2 linked regions of the Coturnix japonica genome follow. The protein of the gene in region 1 purifies or fractionates together with the protein of each later gene. This does not show direct contact. Links are inferred from orthologs where the notes say so. Each region holds a gene or a part of one and is shown on either strand. Other genes may lie near its edges. The genes, in order: ITGA6 and CD151.

Evidence for each region.
Region 2: the proteins of ITGA6 (region 1) and CD151 purify together in Homo sapiens (co-immunoprecipitation; 3 studies listed by BioGRID and IntAct, with this or other methods). This does not show direct contact. The link is inferred for Coturnix japonica from reciprocal best matches to the Homo sapiens genes ITGA6 and CD151.

Annotation. Positions count from the first base shown.
Region 1 is NC_029522.1:15,821,064-15,829,921, forward strand, and holds the end of ITGA6 (integrin alpha-6), read right to left. Parts: intron 8,346-8,858; coding exon 8,156-8,345; intron 8,069-8,155; coding exon 7,985-8,068; intron 7,788-7,984; coding exon 7,708-7,787; intron 7,546-7,707; coding exon 7,468-7,545; intron 7,359-7,467; coding exon 7,256-7,358; intron 6,824-7,255; coding exon 6,650-6,823; intron 6,071-6,649; coding exon 5,972-6,070; intron 5,634-5,971; coding exon 5,523-5,633; intron 5,444-5,522; coding exon 5,345-5,443; intron 5,019-5,344; coding exon 4,893-5,018; intron 4,734-4,892; exon of another isoform or gene 4,690-4,733; intron 3,786-4,689; coding exon of another isoform or gene 3,678-3,785; exon of another isoform or gene 3,656-3,677; intron 2,277-3,655; exon of another isoform or gene 2,192-2,276; coding exon 2,033-2,191; 3' UTR 118-2,032; downstream 1-117. UniProt on the Homo sapiens protein: Integrin alpha-6/beta-1 (ITGA6:ITGB1) is a receptor for laminin on platelets. Integrin alpha-6/beta-1 (ITGA6:ITGB1) is present in oocytes and is involved in sperm-egg fusion.
Region 2 is NC_029520.1:8,931,381-8,940,493, reverse strand, and holds part of CD151 (CD151 antigen), read right to left. Parts: intron 7,429-9,113; coding exon 7,354-7,428; intron 5,043-7,353; coding exon 4,938-5,042; intron 4,121-4,937; coding exon 3,965-4,120; intron 1,716-3,964; coding exon 1,629-1,715; intron 809-1,628; coding exon 749-808; 3' UTR 1-748. UniProt on the Homo sapiens protein: Structural component of specialized membrane microdomains known as tetraspanin-enriched microdomains (TERMs), which act as platforms for receptor clustering and signaling.

The sequences.
Region 1 (8,858 bases):
TTCACAGTGTGACTGTTGGTGTCTGCAACGTTTAGCCTGCCTTTCTGATGTACCAGTGAGCCTTGCTGTGGCTCTCTCGTTTAATTATGATAAGAAACCACTATTATCAGAGCAATGTTTAGTTTTAAAAAATTTATTTCACACTTCTATACAAATATCCACAGGTAATTTCTAATGATGGAATGATTGTTAGCTGGTATTAAAAACAAGTCTGAAATAGAAGTATGCCAGTGACGTGACTTATTGAGAATAATTTTCACTTTAACACTGCAGAGACATTCATGGTCTTAGGGGAGGGCCACAATCTGCTTTAAAAACAGAGGCTGGGAGTAGTTGGTTGCCAAGCATCTTAGCACCTCGTTAGCGTGGCCTCTTATACCGCACAGCCAATCAGTGAAAAAGCTATTTTTAAAAAAGCTCGAAAACTGAGTAACAGCAAAATGCATTTGTCACGGTTCACAAAATCAGGGTCATGTACTGAGATGATTTAATGGGAGGAAGAAGAGCCTACTAAATTACTGCCCTTTCTATAAGGATAGCATTTTAGGTGAGCGTAGCTTCTAAAAAGGTCTTAAAAGTTAGTAGCAGAAATCAGACACCTGACAAGTGCCCTCTTAGCAGGTTTTTACCCTCTGAGAGGAAGAAGTACCAAGAGGTTTTTGCATAGTTTAAACTGCAAACAACTGCACGCTTCTTGAGCAGAATTCTGTCCTATATGGAATAAACTGCAAACTGATCTTCGTTCTTAAGGAGTACCAGTGCTTTAGAATAAGGGTAAAGAAAAAAAAAAAAAAGTAATCTCTATATAGTTTTATCAATGCTTAGATTGCTGATAAGCACAGCATCGTGACTGCTCTCTTAACAATGTTCAGGTATTCAAGAGGGTTCAGTAGTCTCAAAGTGGATCAGCTCAGATCCTCATAGTTAAGTTAGGCATATACAGCCTCGTCAAGTGCTTCATACAGTTGTAGTAGTCAACACCGTTTGCCAGACAGGAAGTCCTTATGAAGCTGGAAAGCTGCTTCCAGAAAACCTCTCACTACCAGTGAAGTATAAAACTGCATCTTAAAAACCCTACCTATACTTGGTGTCTGAACTGTTTAATAGTCTCAAGTAATGTACAAAGTCATACTATAAGACCTGGTAGTTCCTATTAGATCAAGTTACAAATATCATGAAAAAAAAAAAAAAAGACTCCATGTACATCACTGGAATAAATATTTACATTTTTAGAAAGCGTTGGCACCTTCAGTGATTTATTAAACTGCAATGAAAGCCTCAGGTCTCATTTTCTGAAGTTCCTAAGCACAGTGGTTTCAAGGTTCAGGAAAGTCTTTGGCCTAACAGTCAAAGACATCGATAACAAAAATAAATACAAAAATGACTAAAATATATATATATACAAAAAGTACATCTAATATTCAAGCCTCTTTTAAAAAAACTAAGAAAAAAACAACCTGTGTATATTTGTTGTGAGCAACATTTACATAATCTGATTTTAAAAATTGAGCAACGCGACCTATTGTGCATACAACTGAAGGTGATGCTTTTTGTAAGCCCTAGCTACTGCAGCAGCAAAGCTTATGGCTAAAATAGATTTGCAGGTCTTCAGATGATACTTAACTACATATGTTAAGGCCAGTGTGTTTGTAAGGGATCAAACATCAAGGGAAGGCTGGAGAACCTGCACTGATCTCAATCACGCAATTCCCAGGAACATGAGGAGCACAGGAGAAGGCCTGCCAGATTGGGTCTGCATGTTCTGCAGCAAAGAGCCCAAATCAACACGGTGTCTTCTAAAGCCTGAGCTAGATTTGAAGGGGGGAAAAAGAGGCAGAGTGGAAATTACATAGTGCCAAAAAGGACTGACGAAGCAATTTTAACTGTGCAAACAAAAGCTGCAATGTAAGTAGTATTATCTACAAACAAACAGTGAAGATGTCCATAGTGTTCATAGGTCTAACTCCACGAGTTCACCATTAACAAAAGCATTACGCTGTATCTGAACTTTGAGGAGGGAAACAACTTCTTCCTAAGAATAACTTTCATTCTCATTCCATTTTGTGAACCACTGTTTTGTCTCAAGATCTTTGCATTTCCCGCCTTTGATCTCTCGTTCTTCTTTTCGAATTCTTACAGCATGATAGCGGGGGACGCTGTCATCGTACCTGGAGCGCTGGAAGAACCCACACTGGGGACGAGGAGAAAAAGAAGAGTTTAGATTGAAGTTGCTGTGGAAGTACTACAATCACAGAGGCGATGTATTCTTCATACAGGTAAGAGAACTGAATACAAAAAGATTACAGAATAGATTATAGACAGATTATAAAACACACCATATAAGTCTTCCTCTAAAATTGTTCTGTTGTGTATTGAGAAATCTCCATGCTAAAGAGAGATGTGCATACAGTTCAGGAACGTTTACTTCTCCTGAATGAAAGGCAGGTATGTACTTCATTACTCTATGTTGATGTAATTTACCATTAAACTTACAGAAAGACTTCCAGGTCTAAGGAAAGCTTACACTAGGGCTGTCTTTTCAAAGCGCCATCAGTACTACACTGCCTTAACTAACCACACATTTACAGTCCTAGAGCACAGATATTGCTTAATTTGCCAAAGTGAAAAACAGCTATAAATTGAAATTCTGTAGCATTCTGCAATGAACAACTCCCATTATGAAATACAGTAAACTTTGTGCCCCAAAAGCTTTCTTTTTAATCAAAACCACTATTAAACTTGATTATTTTTTTAAAACTACTTAAGAAGACTGAAATGAATGTTCCAAATAAAGTGAGTTTTGGCCACAATGGTACTGTGATGATGACTGGCAAACATTTGACATGTTGATGGGTTTCTGAAGTCAAGATTAAGAGTACAAGACACTGTGACAAACTGTGATTACGTACTGATAGCAAAAAAATAAAAGAGGTACGGTTTCATTTGTGACTTGTTTTAAAAAAATGTTTAAAAATAAAACTTCAATAGATCTGCACTTTAAGAGGGGAAAAATTCATTACGCATAGTTTTGACAGATTTTAGGTAAGAGTTCCTTCCCAACCCCTCATCTCAAAGCATCTCTAATTAATCTGTACGCGCATGTATTGCCTTAAGAAACATAAGTTATCATGCATCCTGGTAGCTGCAGCAGAGAAGTTACTTCTAGAATAGAAAAGTATTTTTGAAACTGAAGGAAAAAAGGTGTTTTCACAGCAATTACCTTTTATTTATGAATGCTCTTCTCATTATTAGCAATTTTATTTTTAAGCATGCAGTAAAAGGTTAATAAAGCAAGTTTATCTTCTAGGTAGTCTTAACTGTAAGTATTAACTCTGCATTGTCAATTACCATCTCTAAAGCTTTAAAAAAAAAAAAAAAAAAAACAAAAAAAAACCCTTATGTTAAATCATCAGTTAAAAAACCACTGCAACAGATCAATATGTTTTCTAGAGAACTAGAAGCTTCTTAGACCAAGGTAACCACCTGTGTTTATATATGCTAAAATCTGAAAATTTATTAAGAGAGTAAGCAAGCAAGTACTGACAGTCTGAAATCCAAAAGTTAATAGAACATATGCAGCAAAAGCTTCATCGTTAGCCACCATACCCACAGCATGTGCCACCACAGCTAAAAATTAAAAAATATCATCAATTACCAATTACAGAAGTAGATCAATACTACGCATCAGAAGTAAGCCTCTCTTTATCAGATGGCTGAGCATGGATCTCAGCCTTGTGATATGTGGCATCGTAATGATCTTTCTTACTTCTTTTGAAGAAACCACACTACAAGGAAGCAAGGTATTTAGTCAATTTCAGTGGACCAGAAGAGTTAAACCTATCAGAACCGACTAGAACAACCTTTCCATAATTTCTTCACAGCCTGGTTGCCTGAAATTTTAGACAGTTTTCACAGGAAAAGTCAGCTGCTGTTATTAGATTTGAGAACTAACATACTCTGTACAGGAGCAAAATAACCTGTGCAGTGTAAGGAATGCTGTTTTAGAGGCTTTGTGATAAAATTTTAATGCATTGTTTTTTGAAGAAAAGCTACTTATACAGCACATCTATAGCAACTAAAGCTGTCTGTGAAGAGCAGCAAGATCACAAACCAATTTATGCACAGGATAAATGCTTAGTCCTGTTCAACAGGAGCATGTATCTCATCCCCAGCCACGTAATTGCCTACAATGTACAGCGTTTGTCCTTCATAAGATGATTTTCTGTCATCAAAAGGAGTTCAAAATGTGTATGAGAGCATCTTTATGTGCAGTAGTAGACTAATAGTTGTAACCTAACAGTCCATCCAACAATATTAATGGTAATTTCTTAGAAGACTTGCAACAGAGACTATCCATTTCTTTGAGGAGGAAATAAAAAGCATACTATGAAAAATCATCCATAGCAAGCAGTGATTCCAACAATGCCACCTGCTTCAGTTTCTCCAAAGGCAAGTGACAGGATATTCCTCTTCACCCACTCTTTCTAAATGAGTGTCTTCTCTCCCCCACTGACTTATTACTTACTGGCTTTGGCAGTTAGTATAAGAAAAGAACTACCCTATTCTACTTGGAACCACCTTTAGTTGTAGAAATGCCAAAGGCAGTTTAAAAAGTACTTGTTTTTTGTTTGTTTGTTTGTTTTGCAAATTCTTAACTTTTCCTTTTAAATACAAATTTGCTTCTTCAAGGTCTCTAAGATAAGGAGCCCATACAAAAGAAATTGGACACACAGGTAATGTGCTATTTTTGTATCTCTTGTTGTTTTATTTTTTCCCATCTACCCTTGAGTTTAATAGCATTAGGAATAGCACGAGAACAAAAACTTAATTGTTTGCTATCTTACTACTTGAATGCCAGGAAATATAAAATAATCAAGTAAGTAAAAACTTACCTTCCATAACAAGAATACCAGGAGCGCAAGCATCAGTACTCCAGCAAAAATAGCCACTGCAATGATCCACCAAGGCACCCCTGTATAAAGGGCTACTGGCTTTGCAGGAAAGACTGTAACACGCACCTAGAGGAAAGAAAACATGTAAAGATTGAAAAAGCACTTCAAAAGCATCCATCTTTAACATAAAACTGTAATTTATAGTCTTTTTTTTTTCCTACAACGTCTTCTCTCACTACAACATGTTTTTGAAGAAAAGGTTTCTATGGGTATCATTTTGACATAGCAGCAAGTTTTGCCAACCAAATTAAAAAGGATCACTAATTCAAAATTTGATTCCAAAGATCCAATATACCAGCTCCTTTTGCTTTCAAATGGTTTATCTTTTCTAGTCTTTGAGATAAGCTGGAAACATAACATGATCTGTGGCAGGCATTAAATGCTGAACCTACCTGAGCAGCTTCATTGGTGAGTTTGACGTTCTTAGCTGCAGCAGGAACACTGATTGAGGCCCTAACAAGAATGTCCAGGTAGTTCATTTTGGAGTATTCCTGTTCCAAAATAAAATACAGTTATTAGACATATGACAGGAAAGAACTCTAAACTTCCAGAAATGCCAGGAGAACTTACTTCCAAGAAAGTACTGTTCCACAGTCTGGAACGCAGCAAAATCGATGCCTTGCTGTCAAAACCCCTCAGTGGACATTTTATGTCCACACACCGTGCATTCACCTTGCAGTCCTGCAGTTAGAAATTTTTACATGTAAGAGCATCTTCACAATTTTCTAAACATCGTATTTAGGCACAAGAACCAAAATCTGTTTGTACCAACAACAATGGGAAAATATGATAAAAATGCAATTCGTGTTTATTTCAGCATAGATAACTATACAGAAATTCCCAATTTCCTCACCTCAGAAAGTAAATATGAATTAACAAATTCTAAAAGCATCAGTGCTTGGATTTAAGATAGAAACAAATCAAAGCCCTATCATCTTTCATGCTGCCAAACTCAAAAAAGCCCTGTTAGGAGTGGAGAAGGAAGTGCCCACCAAGACTAGCTGATGCAGTATGCTTACCAATGTCATGTATTTTCTTTCTGAAAATAATGAAAATGTCTTGCTGTCTGTAATCTGCTTCTCTGCAATCTCACGCTTTCTTCTTGAGTTATGGGATTCCTTCAAAATAAAATGTTTCTGTCACAACTCTGTCTTAATGATGTTGTTAAATATCCCCTTTTTTCTACATTCATTGCTAATAATAGAATCATGAAAATTTGAGATCAACCACTAAAAAGCCAACTGCCTGCTTGCTTTTGACATGTCAATGAGTTTTAAGATGTAAAGAGCTTTTTATGCTGTTTCTGTTTTTGTTCTGTGTATACAGCATTAATATTACTACGTTAATAGGTGTACAGGTGATATGGTCAGTACATACTGGTTTGGGTTTTTTGAAATATAAACTGATTACTCACAGAAAGTTTAGCAATGATCAACAGATAAGTACAGATTGAAGTACATGCAGTTTTAATAACTAGGATTGCAACTTCTCCCAAATGACCTTGAGATTATATGAAAAACAGTGAAAATGAAGGCTCAGGGGGGTTAGAAAAGCTTGCTGGGTTGGCATAATGAAGGACTGTGAAAATCCTGTTTGATAAATTCCTTCTGGAGGTAGGCTCTTACACTCTGTAATCACATGCTGTAGTGTTTTAATGGTGAACCTATTAGTGAACAAAAGAAGATAGAATAACATACCGCAACATGCAAGAAATTGATTTCATTCTGTGGTTGACAGGAAACCTTTTCCAAGCCCTTGGAGTCTATTTTCATCAAATATAGCAGCCATTTGCCATTACTGATTTCTTTTGGCCACTGGATGTCCAGGGAAGCTGTACCAAATGCTTTCAGGGGCCTGCCCAAGTTGGTTACCTATGAAAATAAATCTTCTTTAAGTTGTGCAATCTGTTCCAAATGGATTTATCACCATTACTGACTTGGAGTCATGTAGACAACAGGAAATTAGAAAGCCACTAAAAGACAGTGTAAACAGCTTAAAGACAAAATGTATATGAAAACTAGCACATCTGGAAGGTAACTAAATGTCAAGGTATGAATTTTTAGTCTTACGAACATTAAGCTGCTGCTGTTTAAAAGTCTGTCTTTATAAGAAACACCCACTGTTTAGAGTTAACAAATCATTTGTCTACGTAACTGGAGCAAACTCCAAGCTTACAACAAACTTTTGACACAGAAAGATAACCAGGATCCTGCTCCCACAGCTTGGGAAAACCTATTTCTAAATCCAGAAACATTTTTGAGAATTTACACATGCAAAAGGAGAAACTGTTCTAAATTACTCACTCTGAATTCATACTCTATGAGGTTTCCAATATTATCTTCAGATTTCATAGCACTCTCACCAACGATGTCACCTCCAAAATACACCTGGGAAGGCTTAGCCACTCTGTTCAGGTAAGGTGGAGAGAGGAAATGAATCAGGTTGTAACGAAGTCTGCAGCAAAGGTGATCTCCCCCCAGCCTGCACCCCTATTTGTTCTGCTATTAACACTTACCCTGTGAGCGATAAAAGCAATTCAAGAACCACTTTAGCACTGGCTGTAATTGCAGTTGAATTTACTTGAGTGCTTGTTCTACAATGGAAAGGAAACAATGCTGCTGATTTTACAAGTTTAGAAGTTTTTTTACTTTACTATTAAATTGCTTTTATGAATCAAACCACTCATTCAAAATGTTTATGGCCATCTGTCTAAACAAAATGCGCACAGACACACACATACACAAAGAAAACTTACGTCTCCAGCTTGAGGTTAATGTCCAAGTCTGTTGTATCAACATTAACTTTAGTGGTACTTAAGATCAGATAAAAGGTTACCTAGATAAGAAAGAACATCCAGGAAACGTGAACATTTAGAAAAGATATTAATATATGCAGTATTACAGTAACACACCATCAAATTCTAAAGCTAAAAAGACAGATCTAGGCCAAATTTCTGGTTATAACTCAGAAACTTTACAAGACTGCAGTCAGGAATCAGGTTGTCTAGCTTGAGTAAAGTAACTGCAACTCACATTGGAGTTTCTCTTGAATGGATTTCCAAGTTCACACTCTGCTTGAGAGCCATTCTGGTTAGCACCGCATGTGAGCTGTTTTTCCTGAATAAACATAACATATTTATTATTTGATTTATGCTAAAAACACTTTAAAAAAAATTGAATACCCTTTCTCTTATAAACACTTACAGGATATCCTCTCATCTCCCTGAATGCAGAATAAGTCAGACTATCTGGAAAAGTTGCAATTAGTTTAGCTTCATATGCATCTTCTCCATCTTTCTTTGGATTTCTTGCATCAGATGGATTATTTGTCACTGTTATTTCCAGGGCAATATCTTTCTGATCTTTTAAAACGAGCACTGGAATGCCATTTTCACTGCAGAAACAGAACATACAGAGCTGTGCATCAAGGAAACAAATGTGTTTCAAAGTTTGTTTCTTACTATGGTTTACCCAAACGTCATTCTCTCTGTTAATGAAGAATTACTGTGAAGAACATAAATACAGGAATGGCCATACATAACAGTCTGCTAAAGGCTGACTGTTCACAGTAAGTTAACATACTCACCTCTGTGTTTTCTTCTATGCATTTTCTTTCTAGTATCACTGGCCCTCCAAGGAGGAGGGGTGTTACAGGGTGTTACAATTGTTACCTTTGTGTTACGATGTAACAATTCCATCAATTTCTCTTTAATTGCTCCTCAGGGTACTCGACAAGAGTATACTGTAACTATACAGTTAACAGGACGTGCTAGGCTGGTCATCATTTCTCCAGCAGTTAGAAATCTTCTTCTAAATTTTAGACCGAATCTCCATGGTTGTAGCCGCTTTACATCCACCATTTGATTCTGTACCATTACTCTTCTTCTAAAGCTCAGCCCCACTCCCC
Region 2 (9,113 bases), on another chromosome or scaffold:
AGTCCAATGTCTTTGGCTCTGGAATTGCTAGGCGGCAGAAGGCTTCTTGTGGCTCCTAATGGCACTGCGTTACAGGGAAGCTTCAAGGAAGAGGAGGAAGGATTGCTGAGAAATACTAAGGCACCCAGATCTCGACAACATTAGAGCCGCAACAAGATTTCAACTGTACCAAGTCGTGATCCTGATGAGCACAGAGCGCAATTCCTGCCCCACACAACCAGACAGGCATCTACACAGGTGGAGAACATCTGTGTTAGGACATCAGGGCACAGGCTGGGGGGAGAATGACAAATCTTCTGTGTCTGAAAGACTCAGATCTGGCTCCAGCTCAGCGCAGAAACATCATCTGTCCTCACAGTCAATGCCCAGCTCTGCTGAGACACTTCTCAGAAAGCAAACCGTGGTTCCTGTGTAGCATCCCAATACTTCCACGTCGGCTCAGCAAGAGCCCCAAGAGAAAGGCCCTAGATAAATCTTGCTTTGTAGTTACATCAAGAGACTGTTTTGCTAAAGCTTCTAGCAGAAAATCCACAGCTCTTCTGTTTCTTGACGATGAAGAGGACCTGCTGAATTCCTGGCTGCCTTGTGCATGAGGAGGGTGACTTTCCCCATAAGGGGCAGGTAAGGCATTTAATTAGAGCGAAGTCCTCAGGTTGCAGACACTTCTGTGGTGGTGGTGGAGGGTGGTGAGGTTGGCAGGCACTAAGGGAAGTGGCAGAGGGGGAGCTGACAAGAGTTCCCATAGCTATTAATACGGCTCCTGCTTCAAACTCCTGTACAAGCAACAAGTGAAAATCATCCCAAAGATCTACAGGGCAGAAAGAGAAGAGAGAAATGCATGAAAAAAAACAGAATGGATGCAGTAGAGGTAGCAGCCTGCAAACTAGAAGTTTGGACCCATATCGGAGTGGCAACCAACTCCGGCCTGGAGATACAGCACTCCAGCTTGCAATGAGTGTGAGAGAACATAATCTGTGCTAATCTCATAATTAATTACTATCAGCTTCTCTAGAATGTAATTTGTCTGTATGCCAGAACAGAAGGGAAAATGAACAACTTCCAGAGATACCTGCATCTGGAAGTCAAGATTATTCTGGCTGTCTCTCCCCCTGTAACCATGTAGGAGCATCCACATCCTATCCCTTTATTCTTCAGACTCTCCTTAAACATTTGCTGACCCACAGTGCTGTTCCTCAATATGACAAAGCCAGAGCAGAAACTCTGAATGTATGAAGAATGAGCTAATCAACCGTGATGGGAAACTCCTTCAAACCGGTTCTTTGGCAGCACAGGCAATCCTGGCACATCCCCACCAGAGGTCTCTCTCAGGCTGCCAAACCAGTAGCCATAACCACACCTCATTTCTCACATCCCCGCTGCAGAAACCTGTCTGAGCAGAAAAGTGCCTTTCTTTCACCAGAAATGAAATGTTACAAACTGACAGAAGAGGCACTAGCTCTGGAGTTAGTGGACCCCAAGGTCACTGAAGTACCTTTCCCTCACCTGACAACTTTTTTTTTTGCCAGGCAAGGAAAAGCATGAAATACCAATTTTTCCATCCCTTAGCTCTTGAGTTTCTTAAGATTCTACCCAGAAAGCCCAAGACTCCACACAGTTCCACACAATACCTGCACACAGGCAATGCTGATCCCAACTATGCCAATAATTTTCAGATGTTCTTGAATGAAGTTTTCCAGCTTGGTAATGCAACCATTCTGCAAGGGGAGAGAGAGGAGACAAGGAAAGTCATCTTCATTTTAACTTCTCGTGTCTCACTTTAAGACAGCAGTTGTAACCCTTGAAGGCATCCCTATAAAAAGCAGTGGCTGTGAGCATCCTCTCCTTGCAACACTGCTGGAAAAGCTATATAGATTATATAAAGTCCATTCTGTTTCTGTATGTCTCAGGAATTGCTGAACAAACTTAAGGTGGCTGAAGAAGTACAGAAGAACTTGGCACATTACAGAGAAGGATTTCTCTCAGATTTTCCTCTGAGGTATGTGGAGGAGGGCTCCCTCATTGCTTAGCACATGCCTGAAGTGGGGCTTTGCTCTTGCCAGGCCAAAATGCCAAGGAAATGCTGCATTAAGACCTCTAACATGAGAGGAACCCTTTGAAAGGAAATTCCTCCCACTGTTATTTATGGGGTTTTAATGTGAACCTGGAAAAACAGGCACTGACTATCTCTGCTTTTCACTTGCATCCTTGGCTGGCAGCATAACATCCTAGTTTCAGGCCCATGTTTTTGTTGCCATAATGCAAAAATAAAACAGTAAGAGAATTCTCTGATTATTTTGGAAGAGTTCTCTTTAAATAGTTTAACTGTCTCAACTAGTGAGGCAGGTTTTCCATGGTAACATCAGGGGGATTTGTTGTGTTGCAACAGTGCCCCATGGGTGCCAGGGCACTACAGCCCCAGGGGTCTACAGTGAGCACAGACACCTACATTTACCCAGGCAGAGGGAATGAGTGAGCATGCACCTCTCCAGGGAGGGATGGCAAAGGCCGCACTTTTCCCACGCCTGAATTAGGTTTGAGAGTCAGCTCCAGCTGCCCCAGTGTGAAACAATTGCTCCCGTGTCCTGATCCAACCTCTTCTAGGTTCTTCTTCCCCAGTGCAACTGAAGTCTGTTTTGAACTCTAACTTAGATGTTGTATCATGAGAAGTAGTGTCTATATGTAGATCCACATGGCGTTTGGCAGCTTTTTATACTCCAGAGCTAATGCTGTGCACTTGGCAGCCCATAGGACCTTCCTCAGTAACCAGCTGGGCAGTTTCACACAGCACAGAGTGAGGCTGGGGCAAGCCAGCTCTGCCCTCACACACTTGTAGGTTTCTACACTCAGAGACACCTCAACAGCCCTTGGAAGATAACAGACCTTATGGGAAAGTCTTCCTTCAGGAGACCAAAACCCAGCCAAGCAGCTGGACTTAATAAAGGGTGGCTTTAGTAGAGCAGGAAGACTGAACTTCATCTCTGCACCTAGTGGGGCAGAGACAAGGAAAAGGCTCCGGCTGCTGCTCCCATGCCTTAGTACAGTCAGCTGAGGCAAAAGCTGCACTGGTGAGAAAACAGTCTATGCTAACTCACAGAGAGATTTATGGTGAGCCAAGCCATAGGACTGAAGGGTATGAAAACAAAAACACAAGAAATTATACCAGTTTTAATCAACAAGATGAATAAGTGAGAGCTACCTGCCTATTTCCTCAGCTGCTCTGGGATTCAATTTGCTTCTTCTGGAGGTGAGATAAGCAGCTCAGCTCCAAATTCTTTTCACCCCTAACTGCAGTTCTCTGGAATTGGCCTAATTTTTCTGCTGGGGAGCCCCATATCCTGTTTCCTCATGCTGGAGGTCAAATCTGTCAATGCTGATCCTTGACTGTATCTCTTTGCTCCTCACTAAGTTTAATAACAGGAAGCTGAGAACGCAGAGCTCAAACCCAAAACTCCTGCCAGAAGCAACCTCTCCCGCTCCCTCATCACCATCATATTCTGCAATAACAAATATAACTTAGTATTTTTCTCTATAGGAAATAAAATGGTGCAGAACATATCTCTGCTTTTTTCCCCAGCTCCTGAACTCTCTTCTTTATTGCCTTTACAATCCTTTTCTACATATCAGGTTCCCTGCAAATGCCAAGAACAGTCCTGAGGCAGATTTGAAATACACTCCTTGCCTAATCCACAGCCACTCCAGTGTAGAGGATTAATCCCATACCGTACTCACTGGGTACTGGCTATAGTATCACTCTGGTAGCCACAAATACATGCTTCTGTAATAGCAGCCCAGACACTCTGACTCCTCTTTTTTTTTTTCCCTCTTCCCTGAATCTTCTTAAATGTAGCCTGGAAGGCTCAACACTCAACTAGAGACACAAAGTGCCAACCCAAAATCCTCACTTCCCACCCACCTCCTCGATAAAATTTGTGACAAGAGGCTCTGAAGCCCTTTTGTTCTTTACCTCCTTGTAGATGTTGGAAGGATGGTCCCTTCGGCCACACAGGTCAGTTATTGTCTTACAGCAGCTGTCAGGAACTTTCCGTCCACTGGCCTCTGGAGATCTGATCCAGATACTGTCAGCCCAGTCTGTGTAGTTGTTGCTCCCACAGCATTTGAACTGCAAACACATATAAACAAAGCTGAGCCTGCAAGCACTGCAGTTTCCTTCTCACTCAAGCCTCCCTGTATCAAGCTCTGAGCTTTGCTCTTTGTTGAGAGACTCCAGCAATGTCACTAGCCTAGATTTTTGGACCCCTGTAATTATTAGTGAGCTTTGTTTCAATGCTGGCAATTAATTATCAGCTTCATCCATCTTTCAGCAGTTGACTTCTGTTACTGTTGAGATGAACTGTAGCTAGAGAGCACCTGCAGCTGCCTCAGCTCTTAAATCACCTGACCAGAGAGCACTAACAGGGTAGGTATAATTACCAGTTACTATCGCATATGCACCTGGCAACAGGGCATTACATGCATAGCAGGCTGCACGCTTTGAAACTGCTGGACCTATGCCTTGCACAAAGGTCCAGTCTGTGGAAAAGCCTGTCAGAACTATGACAGCCCATACCTGAACCACCCCAGAGCATGACACAGCTCGCAGCAGCAGCAGGATCTTTCATTACATCTTGTTCTCTAGGGTACTGAGAAGCTTAATGAAAAATGTCAGCAATTTCTCCAAAGCTTTCATGTGGTAAGTAGAAACAGCTGTCAGAGTGACTCGGCACTTCAGTTCACTCCAGGAGCAATTTAGATGTTGATTGCTCAATTCTATTGGGGATCCAATTCAGAGATTATCCCATGCCATTCCGCTGGTAGCACAGCCAAGACCCTGCACACCACCCAACCTGCTCTGACTCAGGAGAAACAATCTGTATGTCAGGTGACAAGAGCTCACATCATGTCTAGTATTGTACAATAGCATCTCCAGCAACACCCACCTCCTGCTGCAGTTTGTCCACTGCACTGGTCACTCTCTCTTCTCCCTCTTTGCGGTATTTCTGAGTCATGGTGTTCTTCAGATTTTCCTTCAGCTCCGTGCTCAGCTGAAAAGAAGAGACAAGTGGGATAAAATCATGAGGTAAATTCACCTCCCCTCAGGGCAACCCAGCGTCCTGCATAAGTTTCACTGCTACTGCTCCAAGAGAAAAGAAAGCCAAAAAGTGAAAGCTACAGCTTCCTTAAGTCATCTTCCAAGGCTGGAATGACTTCCAGGAAGCAGGTAAGCTTATTTCCAGCTGATTAAAGACCACGTTTCCACTTTATTAACTGGAATGAAGTGATTCTGGGCCAAATTTCAGTCTGTGCAACATATCACCACGTGGGTCCTCACCTCACACATGTAAGAGATTGCCAAGACATGTTTGCATCTAAAACACAATACCTAACTGTGCCTGCTTGAATATGAATATGCCATGAGAGCATATGCAGTCTTCTGTCCCTGAAAAAACACAATCAGTCTGTCCAGGAGCAGGAAGAAATCAGAGTCCTGGGCACACTGGACTGAGGTCACGTAGTCTGAATAGCTCTTAAAATGACAGCAAAAGGGATGCCAGAGGAGGGGATGAAGAGCGTAATTGCAAGATTGCTCCATGGCATTTCTTGATAACAGTGACAGATTTGTAAAACCACAGAGATGACGTCTGATTCTGGAAGTTCATCATTTCTGAAAATGTTCCTATCACCAACCACTGGTAGGTTCAGGTGACTGCACTCAAATATTTCTTTCTATGGAAGCTCTTCTTAATCTAGCTAAGTTCCTCTTACACATCAGTAGAGATAGCTGTAGAGACAGCTTCTCTAAACGCCTTTTATTCTGTACAGTAAGCAGTAAGTGAGGGGTCAAACATCTCGTTACACTGCACTGGGCAAAATACAATCTGCAGTTTATTTTCCTTTTGATATACTGTTTTTCCCAATCCTGTGTGTCAAGTGGTGACAATACCTACCTCATAGAGTTGATAAGAGGCTTCATTCATAAATATTTGAAAAATGCTTTGAGATCCTGGGTTGGGAAGCTCTGCAGAAGTGCAAGGGACTTAATGTAATGAAGAGAAAGCAAAAGGTTCGGTAGCTGGAAGGCATCAGAGGCAAATAAAGAGGAGAATCCATTAACAGAATTAGTACTTGGGAGAAAAGCAGTTACCTGCAGGCTCATGGGGAAGAACTGCAGCATGGAACAAAGACAACAAAAGAGAGGGAGTTCAGACACACAAGCCTTAGATACCAAAAGCAAGGGCTGAAATAAGCAAACAGCAAGCAGCCTGCAACCAGCAAAGAAGGGGCATTTATCAGTCACAGTGCAAGGGGAAAGTGCAGCTACTGATCAGAATGCCTTTGAGTGACTTAAAGCACTTGAAGGGACAGCTCCAAATGTGTCATCCTTTACTCTACCTAAGGATCAGCTTCTTTTCATCCTTTGTCATACATGAGCCAAGTGAGGCTTTCTGCCATGCTCCTGGGCCTGATCTTTCCCAGTTAAATATATTCCACTGACCCATCTCAGTTCCTACCAAGCAAATGAATTAACAACACTCTGACTCCTCACAAACTGACAGTGCCCATCCTGGAGATGCAAAGCACAAAAGTCTCAAAATAGAAAGGAACGGCAAGGAATCCTAACAGTGAAGCCAACAAGATGGAATGAGATATCCAGCTGCTCTTCAGACAGACACTTGACAACAATTCTAATTCACCCTTTCCAACCAATTTCCAGACTTGAGAGCAATTTCCCAGGCTGTTTGTGTTCTGGTGGCTAAATATCCTTTGAAAACAAAGCAATGATTTATTAAGCCTCTGTTCTCTGCAACTGCAAGAAGTGCCAACTTAGAACTGCAGCTGTTGAGAGTCAATGCTGTTACCCCCTCAGCTACGCTGGTTAGGTAAAGACCTCCAAAACTTTATGACCTGAAAGGACCTAACAGCTGGACCACCTTTGTAAGTTCAGGAGTGTGATAGCTACCTTGCTAGATGCAACAGGATCACTCATGTCCTGTATATACTTGGTGGCACTAATGTCATTTCAGTTGCTTGCAGTGTGACTTAAAGGGTATTAGAAGTTCTACACAGCCTTAACAGTTGTCTTCTACAAGACTCTGCAGCTTGCGAAGATGAAACACAAGATGAGCAGCAAGGCTGAACAGCCTCCCAAGTGTAACCACTAAAGCTTTGTCAAAAGTAGTAAATAACCTAAGTTTTTTTGTATGGGGTAGAAAGTGAGTATAGACATGTAGAAGGATGAAACCTAATCAGACACTTGGTCCCAAGCCTTCAAGCCCAATTTTGGCCGGAGTAATGGGATGACAGTCAGCTGTTTTCTCTTCCTGGTTTGAGTTTCTAGGACTGCTGTCCACTCACCTGCTGGTAGTAGATATAGGCCAGGATTCCAGCAATGATCTCCAGGAGGAAGATGCACAGCAACAATATGAAATACTGTAAAATAATGGGAAAAACAGGATGTTAGAACAGAATCTTGAAGCTGGCTTACCACTAGCTAGTAAAATACGTGACACTGTCTCTGCTGATGGTTATCTGCAGGAGATCTCAAAGATAATAGTGGGATTAGGACCTCAATAGGATAGAAAGGGAACAATCCCACAGGTCAAAAAAAAAACCAAAACCAAAAACAAAACAACAAAAACAAAAATGAACATGCTTGATAACAGAAGACAAGCAGAAGCAAGTGTGAGTTTAACTCAAACTGCCAGAGGGATATAGAGAATGGAAAAGTGCAGGCAGCTGAGATAAGATCACTAGACAGAAGAGAGTGGTTGCCAGATAACCTGATGAATACATTTAGTATCACAGAAAATATCTGCTTCTGACATAATTAAAAAATAATTCTGAAACTTTTGCTTGCTTTCATATTGTTTAGGGCATTTCCCGAAGTTACTAAGGAGAAATGCGTGCTATAACAACAATTAAATGAACCAACAAATAGCCCATTTCACCAAGGACAAAGGTGATCAATTGAACATAAATTTAAGACACGGATTTACATTTCCAGGTACTTCTGTGCGGTTCAACCACCATCTGCAGTGCACCAGTGAAGTGATAAGATTTTAGATAAAAAGGCAGTTCCTTTACAGATCCAAGTTGTTCTACAACTGCTACTAACTTCATCTTTTTATAGACGAAGCCGAAGTGGCACTAGTTGAATCTATAACAACGTCCTTATGCAAAGCCCCTGTAAGACTTGGCCTGCTCAGGACAGAACTAACACATCATCTTCCACTCTGTCTCACTCAAGCTCAGAACATGGCTATTCCCAAGGGATTAGGCGAACAGTTCCCTAAAAATGTAGCTAGCCATGAAACCATCTCTCCACCCAGCATGTAGAAGGATAGTGAAGCCCTGGACACAAGCAAGATTGTTTTCTGTTACACAAGGGTTACTCTCTGCACTGCACAACCCTTCTTGGCTGGTAGACACAGGTACTTCTGAGCTACTTCACAGGAATTAAACAACACAGCTCAGGTTTCTTCTTTCACCCCTTCTGGGATACACCAGCTGCAAAGGATGGCCAGCTGGGTATTATCTGCAGGCCAGGCTTTAATCTGAGCACACAATCTCAGGCTTTCTCTCCCCAGCCCCACACTGAAAGTCTCTGCATACTCTTGTACAAGGTACCCATTCATACCACAGCAGTGAGTCACTCAGCAGAGAAGGGGATAGCTAAACGCTGGTCCCAGCCCTCACAAAAGGTTGAAAGGGGGCAAGAAAGGATTGGAGTACTCTGATACAAAGGCTGTCTTTCTTTTGTTGGGACCTAGTTATGCCCTACTGCCCTGACATCATCGCTCTGCAGAAGAAGGGGAAGGAAGGTGGCAGGATGCTGGGAACACCCAACAACTGCAAAGCTTCTTTTATTTATTCTTCCTTGCTTGGTGTCGTCATTTCAGTGGCATTCAGGTGGAGCTGAGTTGTGTCACCAAAGCTCAGCGCACGCTGGCTTACAGTGGATACGAACAAACACATATCCAGCTTAGAGAATGAGTCATGAGGTCCCTGTTAACCCTCGTATGGTCAGTGCATCTGCCACCCAAGTACCCAACCTGTCTCTGCTGATAGTCTGTATCATTATCCTTATCTTGGCTTCATCTCCCCCTCAGGGCCCC